Sus scrofa: one gene and its partner. The protein of the gene in region 1 interacts with the protein of each later gene in a pairwise test. Links are inferred from orthologs where the notes say so. Each region holds a gene or a part of one and is shown on either strand. Other genes may lie near its edges.

Region 1 (4,229 bases):
TCACGCGTGTCCGGCGGGCAACACGCAGGAGCTGCGCGGCGGGACTCAGGCTCCCTCCTTCCGAGGGCCAGTGTCTGGGGTCTCGGTCGGCTCAGGATTAGGCGGCGGCGGCGGCAGGTCACCCTCTACCCCTACCCGGGCCCCGGGGCCAGCGGCAGCTGGTCATTGTTCGAGCACAAAGGGCCAGGCGCCGAGGCGGCCGCCCTTCCCCCTTCTCTTGTCTCGTCGATGCCTCTTCCCCCAGACACACTCTCCAGCTTCGGAGTCCAGAGGGGGCGGCGGAGGGTCAGTTGCCCCCGATTCGGGGCCCTGCGCCCCAGCACAAGTCGGGGGCCAAGGCTTGGTGGGTGTCTGCCCCACCCGCAGCCGGTTGGAGGAGGCACGCTTGGATTTGTGGAGGTGGCGCCACCTGGCGGCCCATTCGGAGAACACACTCGGTCACCGCCAACCTTGGGGGACCTTACCCTAGAAAGCCTAGGCCTTTCCCCAGCGCGGCTCAGTGCTCCCCAGCCTTCCCTCAGAGTCATTTCCTAAGAGAGAGGCCACTGATCCGAGAGAAGCAGCCCCTGGGCCCAACAGTCACTGAGGTGAGCCCATCCAAGCCTACAGGCCAAACCTACACAGCCGCGTAGCACACAACATCCCACTGTCTTCTCAGGGTCACGGATATTCTCAGCTCGGCAAACAAAACAGTCTTAACACCCACACGACCTTTCCCACAGTCTCACACAGCCACAATCATACAGTCTTTTTCATCACGAGGTTCCATGTCTCTTCTTCCCATAATCTTTCAGGCCAACACACAGAGACATTCGTTTCACATGCCTAGTTGTACACAGGCTTTCACAGCTCGAAGTCCTTCGCACCCAGTCACAATCTTAAATACACTTAGTCTCCTAAGCATTTTTCACACACTGACAGTCTTATTCACAGTCAAAAAACGTCTTCTTACATGTACACAACGTATTTCACAAACATTTTATCACACAGACTTTCCCGTAGGGTCTCTGTGACCCAGTCAGGTCAGCTGATGCCCACACGGCTGTACAAGGACAGCCTCCAGGCCCCTAACTCCGCCCCATCCAGGGCCAAGGCCTGCCACAGCTCCTCTACCCCAGGAAGGAGCATCTCCCCCCCTTCCAGGCCACAGCCCTGGCAGGCTCTCAGCTCTATTTTTAGCTCTATGGAAAGGATTGTTTTTCTTTCTTTTTCCCTGGAAAGGGAAACAGCTCAGCCACCCGCAGGCTCACCCTAGACCCTCTGCTCACAAGAACAGACTGAGTCCCACTCCGGTAGAGACCCCCCCCCCCTCTTCTGGCCTTGCCCTGATCCCAGCCTCCTGGGGCACTAGGAGCCGCCTCCCCTTTCTGGCAGCCAGCCCAGAAGCTCAGGCAGCAGCTGGGCTCAGCGTGCGTGTAGGGGTGGGGGGTGGGGTGAGGAAGGAGGCCGAGGGCCGATGCCCACTTTCATGCCCTGGGGGGAGGGGGCTGTCTTCCCTTCTACGGGAGGGAGACAGGCCCTCTCTGGTGTTGAGATGTGCACGCTCCTGCATTCTCTGGGGAAGGGGGACTCCCACTCTTGCATGCGTGGGCTTTCTGTTCCTACATTGCAAGGAGGAGCTCCTAGCTCTGCAGGGAGGGGTGGTAGTAGGAAGGGCACCCACAGGCGCTGCCGTAGCTGCTCCCTTGGCTGCTATACGCTGCCATCCAGAATATCGCCCCCACGCCCCCAATATCTTCAGGGATGGGGCACCATGTTGGGGAGAAGGAAGGGCGAAGAGCCCAGGTAACCCCAGGCCAGACCAACAGCCTCCTGTTCTCCTTCGCTAACCCGACTCCAGGGGGCGTTGTGTTCTCCTTCCGGGGGAGGTGGAGAATGGACTACAGCCCGGCCAGGTACCTTGCAAGCCCGTCCTGCACCGGGGCGGGCGGTTCCCGCCCTGAGGCCCGGGTGGGGGGAGCACAGCCCACAGGTCTGCGCTACGATCACGTGCTCGGCTCCTGTTTACGTCTTAGTCTTCACCTGCGGGCTGCCGGAAAGCAGGAACCTCTGGAGTTGTCCCACCCGGCCCGCCCCCGTCGGCGGTCCCTGGGTCTTTCCTCCCACCCCTGTCAAGTACGCGGCAGCAGCGCGCCTTGCCCGCTGGGGGTCCCGCGGGCCAGTGGCGTTGTTCCAGGGACGGCAGGCACAGCTCACTGGGCGCGTCCTCTTTAGGGTGCACGTGTGTTCGTCTGTCTCAGGTGCGCGCGTGGGTCTGTGTGTACGCGTGTTTGGACCCGTGAGTGTGAGGTTCCGTGTAGGTTCCCTGTTCACACTCTTCGCTTGTGCCTCCTGCACTGGGGACTCCCCTCCTCACTCCAACCCCCAACCTTCCAAGACCGGTAAAGTTCGCTCCGGCGCGGGGCTGTGCAGGAGCTAGAGTTCCGACACCTCCGCGGCCCCACCACGCACTCACCTAGGGCCACCTGCGCCGCCGCTCCAGCTCCCCTCCCGGCTCCTGCTCCAGCGCCAGCACCTCCTCGCCGCAGATCGGCCGGCTCCCAAGCCCGCTCCGGGCTGCGGACTCCCAGCGCCCGTCCGGCCGGGCCTGGAGGAGCGGGGCGGGGCGGCTGAGGCCGCGCCCCCGACCCCGACAGGGGAGTGGTCTGCGCAGCACCCCCTCAACAACCGACCCAGTGCCCAGCCCAGATGTGGCTCGATGGTGGCCCAGGACTGCTCCTCTGGCCTCTGACTTCACACCTTACAGCATTTGTCTTTCAGCTCGGGGAAGGGGCCAGTGGCACGTGACAGCTAAGCTGGCTGGCTGTCCTAACCAAGTCGGCTGTAGGGCTTTACAGCCACCTTCCTCAGCGCTTTAGGGAGCCCATCCTGGTCCATGCTCAGCCCAGTCCCCAGATGGGGAAAACCCCTGGGAAGCAGACAAAGAAGGCTCGGGTTTCACCAAAACAGACCCCGCCTTCCTCACACACACACACCTCGGCGTTGGGGCTGCCCTTGAGGACCAGCACCTCCCCCTCCCCGAGTAGGTGTCGGCCCAGGTGAGCCGGCCTGCCGGTTTGGGCCCCCACAGAGTATGGCCACGCTTCTCCTAGACTCGTAAAAGTTCCACCCACAGGCACAAACAGGAAGTTGACCTGTACTGCAGGGAGGAACCAAGGGCTCCCTCCCTCCATGGCACCCAAAGTGGCCTTTGTGAGGGCAGACTGTGCTGTCTACAGGTATCTGGGCTGTATTTGCAGCCTGAGCCCTGGGTAGCCGGAGTCTTGTGAGTTTAGTCCCTTCTCAAATGCAAGATGGAGAACCAAAGCTGCCCCCACACAGCTAAGTGTGACAATGAGTCTGAAGACAGCAGACAGCGCTGCAGATCCAGGGACCCTGTTCTGTCAGGCTCTTCCTCAGCTCTCAGGAAGGTTCTAAATGTCCAACTGGGCACATGGAATGCTGGTTCTAGCCCAGGTGATTTGCCTCAATCCACTTTGGCTGAGTACAGGGACAGGGAGTCCCAGGGACCTTACCCAGGAACTAGGGATTACCTGCCACTTTCTAGGCTGCAGTTACTCCGGAACATACTTCTGGCTAATTCTGATGCTAGGAGCTTAAGACAGGTGTGGAATGGAATGTGCTTGTGTACGGGGTGGGGCTGGGGGAGAATTAGCTTCCCCTCCCCCGAGCTGGTTTGTGCAGTGTGGTGGTGTCTGCTAGGAGGGTGGGGCAAGCCGGGCAAGTGTGTATCTATTCCTCTATAGCCAGTTCACACAGACACCTCGCAAAAGTTCCCTAATGGAAACTCCTAAAGTATTTCCTGAGAACACACCAGGCATTCTAGGGAGACCAGACCAACACCTTTCTAGGTAGCATTGATCTGGTGGGGTGCATCTGGAAGGCATGGCTGATGTTCAGTGTTGTAGCCCCTGGATGAGGCCTAGACCAGCCAGCGGCTGGGAATGATTACTGTGGGATTAGGAGAGCTGGCTCCAGCCAGTCTGGGAGAGACCCCCAAGAAGGGAGGCCCTGGAGGATCTCCCCCCTCCCCCCCAGGGAATGGCTTTGCTCCAGGGTCTGTTTCAGAAGACAACTGCAGTCACAGTTCTCACACACCACAGACCAGAGACCCCAGACCATCCATCCCACAGGGGTCCAGAGCCTCCTCTCAGGTTACAGGGAGACCTTGATAAGGCAGCCCTGCTTCCAGGGAGCAGGAAACCTCCCCCAACCCCCTCTACAAAAGG
Region 2 (4,378 bases), on another chromosome or scaffold:
AACAGAGGCACCAGGTGAGAGGGAATCCCCACCATGAAGTAGCATTCTCCGCCCCCAACACTGCCCCACACCTCCTCTTAAAATTCTGGCTGCTTTGTGATCCAAGCTTGTCTCTGTTCTTGTTCCTGCGTTATTGCAAAGGACTAGCTCTTCAGCCAGGTGAGCCAAAGGGGCGGGGGCTCTCGGAACTTGACCTGGATTCCAGGGGAAGGAAGGGAAACCCACTCCCAGACATGCAGCCCAGAACATGTCTCTCTGCCTGCCCCCTACCCCCAGCCACACCCACCTCCTGCTCTGCCACATCCAGCCCAGCCTGGGAGAGGCACAGACCCTTACCCAGTGTGTGTGTGCTGGGGGTGTTGGATTCCCAGGACCATGGCAGTGGGTCGCAGCCCAGAAGGGACCAGGTGGCCTATCCTGGCAGGAGTGGAGGGTCCCCAGTGTTCCTGGAGGTGGTCAGAGAGAGGAAGAGTCTAGAGTCTTTAGTTTTTCTCTCTTTTTTTCCCTGAGGTCTGGGATTGTATGATAGTCATATTCTGTCACTTCTGAGAGTATCTGAGAGAGGGTGTTGCCTATGGCCTGGAAGAGAGAGGGTGGACAGGTATTGTTCTGAGTCACATAGCAAGTTGACCGTGGAGGCAGATGAGAATGAAGTGTTTGGGCCCCGAGGACACAGCCACCTGGCTGGCACTGCTTGCATTCCTGCCCCTCACTACTGTTTCTCTGGCCTTTGTATCCAAGCAGGTTCTGACCTGCTCTGATCGCATTAACAGAAAATCTGTATGCGTCTTGTTAAGGCTTCTGGGACAGGCATGGCCTTTCAAAGCCATCTTCCATTGAGATATTCAGGTGGCTCTGTTGACACCTGCGCTGAAAAAGGGAACCTGGGCTCAAATATCAGCTCCACCTCTTGACTTAGGCCAGCGAGTTATTTCCTTAGAGCTCCCGTGTTCTCATCTATTAAGTGGGGACAATTGAAATAGTTGTTGTAAGGATTACCAGAGATCATTAGGTCATGCACCTAACACAGGGCCTGGCAGTTGGCAGGAGGAGTTCAGTGACGAGTAGCCACTTCGCTCCAAACCCTAAAATCCAAATCAAACTGAACCCATCACTCCCTTTAGGGTGAGAAGCCACTCCGCTCTCTCAGGGCAGGGCAATCTTCCTCTGAAACCCAGGCCCGCTGATTACAAGGCTATTTGGTTTGTGTGACCCAGTTAATAACCCTCTGTCCCGTCGGCCTCTGCGGACACCTCACCTCTGCCCCAGGGGCCGCTGGGCTCAGCGAAGCCTGCCCACGGGTGAGGACAGAGGCTCCCACTTTCCTGATGAGAAGAAAGTGCGTCAGAAGGAAGCAGCCCAACTGGTTGCCGAGCCGTGGAAAACAATTAAACTGGGGGAGAAAAAAACCCTTTAAAAAAAATCAGGTTAGGTATGAATGTGCAGGGTGTGGCCCCCCTGTATAATTAGCCGCTCTGCTGGCTCCGGGAGCCACGGCCGCCTCTCCCGGCCCCGTTGTGTCAGCCCCAGCGGCCCCTCCTCTCCGCTCCTCCTCCTCCCCGCTCCCTGAAGGTGTGTCTCGGGCTCTGCGGCTGCCTGTCCCACTCCCCGCCGAGACGCCCGCCGGAGAGGTCACCCACCCACACCTCCAGGGAGCCCGACCCAGACCAGCCAGGTGACCCGCGATGGAAGCCGCAGACGCCGCCAGGAGCAACGGGGCCAGCCCGGAAGCCAGGGATGCCCGCAGCCCGCTGGGCCCTAACGGCAGCCTGGAGAACGTGACCAAGGCCGAAGGCAAAGAGGCCAAGACCACCAACGGGCACGCGGGGGAGGCGGCCGAGAGCAAGAGCCTGGGCGGCGCCCTGAAGCCGGGCGAGGGAAAGAGCTCCCTGTTCTCCGGGAACGAGTGGCGGCGGCCCATCATCCAGTTTGTCGAGTCCGTGGATGACAAGACCTCCAGCTACTTCAGCATGGACTCTGCGGACAGCAAGAGGTCCCCCTACGCCGGGCTCCAGCTGGGGGCCAAGAAACCGCCTGTCACCTTCGCCGAGAAGGGGGAGCCGCGCAGGTCCATCTTCTCGGAGCCCCGCAAGCCCACCGTGTCCATCATGGAGCCCGGGGAGGTCCGGCGGAACAGCTACCCTCGGGCCGACTCGGGCATCCTCCTGCGCTCCAAGTCGGGCTCCGAGGAGGTCCTGTGCGACTCGTGCATCGGCAACAAGCAGAAGGCCGTCAAGTCCTGCCTGGTGTGCCAGGCCTCCTTCTGCGAGCTGCACCTCAAGCCCCACCTGGAGGGCGCCGCCTTCCGCGACCACCAGCTGCTCGAGCCCATCCGGGACTTCGAGGCCCGCAAGTGCCCCCTGCACGGCAAGACCATGGAGCTCTTCTGCCAGACGGACCAGACCTGCATCTGCTACCTCTGCATGTTCCAGGAGCACAAGAATCACAGCACTGTGACTGTGGAAGAGGCCAAGGCTGAGAAGGAGGTAAGAGCCGGGCCCCTCCCCCACCACCCTCGGGGCCTCTCCTCGCTCGCTGAGTCCTCCCACCTCATTTTCCCACTGGGGGTGCTGGAGTCTGGGGCTCATCTCTCTGCTGTCCCTGGGTCTTTCAGAAAACACTTCTGTCCCCTCTACTCCGCCAGGCTGGGAGTCAGGGAGGGCTCCCCAGTCCTCTAAGGCCCCAGGAGACTGGTGTATTCTAGATGAGCACATAGGGGCTCAGCAAAGATAGGGGACTCGGCTAAGGTCACAGGATAAATTCAAGTCAGGTCAAGGATTGGCACTCAGTCCTGGGCTGGGTGGGCCTGGCTGGATGTATCTTTTTCTTCTTCTTCTTCCTCTTCCTCTTCCTTCTCTTCTTCTTCTTCTTCTGAGGAGTGGGTTATGGGTGAGGAGGAGGGAATTTGGGGATGGCTTCAATGTCCTATTTTCTGTCTTCAGAGTTGGCCTTTGCAGGACAGCAGCTTCTTCTTGTTCCGTCTGATCCTCCATCCTGTCCCTTGACCCCCCTGCTGGCCTCCTTTATCCCCCCTCAGCCAGGCCCTGTGTGCTTTGTGTGTGTGGTTGTATGTGGTGGGCGTGCCTCTGCCTGTGGATGGACGCTCTTGGTGAGGGTTGGAGTGGGGGGGAGGGGTCTGTGTGTTTTATATGCACGTGGGTGTGTATATGCGTATGTGGATGTTTGCATAAGATTGTGTATGTAGCACGTCAGTGTGCTTGCATGCATCCTGTGTTCGTGATTCTGCCAGTAGTTCTGTGGTGAGGAGCGGAGGCGTGTAGAGGCTTGTGAGTGTGGTATACCTGGAGCGGGTGCGCCGGCTACAGGCTCAGCTGTGGCTGCTGCCCCTGGCCCTGCAGACTGGGGCCCTTTGCCCCCACTCCCCGGCAGCCACATAGCTCCCTGGCATGGGCAGCCTTTTGTTGGGGTGAACCTTCCCAGCGGTCAATGCAGGGGAATCGACTTTCTGCACCCTGCAGGCACCCCCTCTGTGCCCAGCCTTCCTGACCAAAAGTTTGTGGGTGACTGTCTCCCACCCACACTCCTGGGCAGGAAGGAGCTGTCAGAGATGAGAGAAAACTCAAAGATCCTTTTCCGAAGCCTCATTTGGCCCAGGAGCAAGGTGACCCCAGTTTCCCCTGCCTGGCTTCACGCTTCATACGGGAAGATGGAGATGGGGGCCTTACTTAGAAAATCAAAATAGAACAAGGACCAATCATCTTCATTCACCACAACCAAGAAGTTGCACAGCCCTGACTGGGCTGGGTTTTGGGAGACCTGGATTCCAGTCCTGGTTTTGCCTCTGATCATCTGTGCAGTGGTAGCCAGGTCCCTTCCCTTCCTTCAGGCTCAGTTTCCCTTCACGTGAAACTAGGGGATTGGACTCCATTGGAGATTTTCTTTCTTCCTTTCTCTTTTTGGCCATGGGGGATCCTTAACATGCTGAGCCACCAGGGAACTCCTAGAGGTTTTCAAATTACCCCATAGAGCCCTTGGGGAGCTCCATGGAGCTTAGGATTCTTGGGACTGTCATTAGCTTAGGATTCTTGGGAATGTCTTTAAGGTGTCAGGGATGAGAATGGGGGCAAAGTGATGCCAAAAAGACAGGGTCGGCAGGTTCCCACCTCACAGCAAACAGTACGTGCTCTTGTTCATCCGTTGTATACATGGGGTTTGGACTCCAATTTTATCTGAATCAAGGGTATCTCCAATTAAGAAAAGCCTGAATGCTCTAGAGGGTAGTCTTTGGCAGCTTTCTCTGGTGGTACCTGGAATGTGGAGTTCATGTTCTAGTTCTGGGCAGGACTCAAAGACAAGCTGTGTCTTGAGGGCTTATAATGTAGGTCAGGAGGCAGAGCTCAGACAAACCAGTCTGGGG

Evidence for each region.
Region 2: the proteins of LZTS2 (region 1) and TRIM29 interact in binary tests that used the Homo sapiens proteins (3 or more experiments, as listed by UniProt). The two-hybrid records come from large-scale screens. The link is inferred for Sus scrofa from reciprocal best matches to the Homo sapiens genes LZTS2 and TRIM29.

The regions. Positions count from the first base shown.
Region 1 is NC_010456.5:112,076,877-112,081,105, reverse strand, and holds the start of LZTS2 (leucine zipper putative tumor suppressor 2), read right to left. Parts: upstream 2,896-4,229; 5' UTR 2,456-2,895; intron 1,279-2,455; exon of another isoform or gene 136-1,278; intron 1-135. UniProt on the Homo sapiens protein: Negative regulator of katanin-mediated microtubule severing and release from the centrosome. Required for central spindle formation and the completion of cytokinesis.
Region 2 is NC_010451.4:47,281,213-47,285,590, reverse strand, and holds the start of TRIM29 (tripartite motif-containing protein 29), read left to right. Parts: upstream 1-1,486; 5' UTR 1,487-1,685; coding exon 1,686-2,486; intron 2,487-4,378.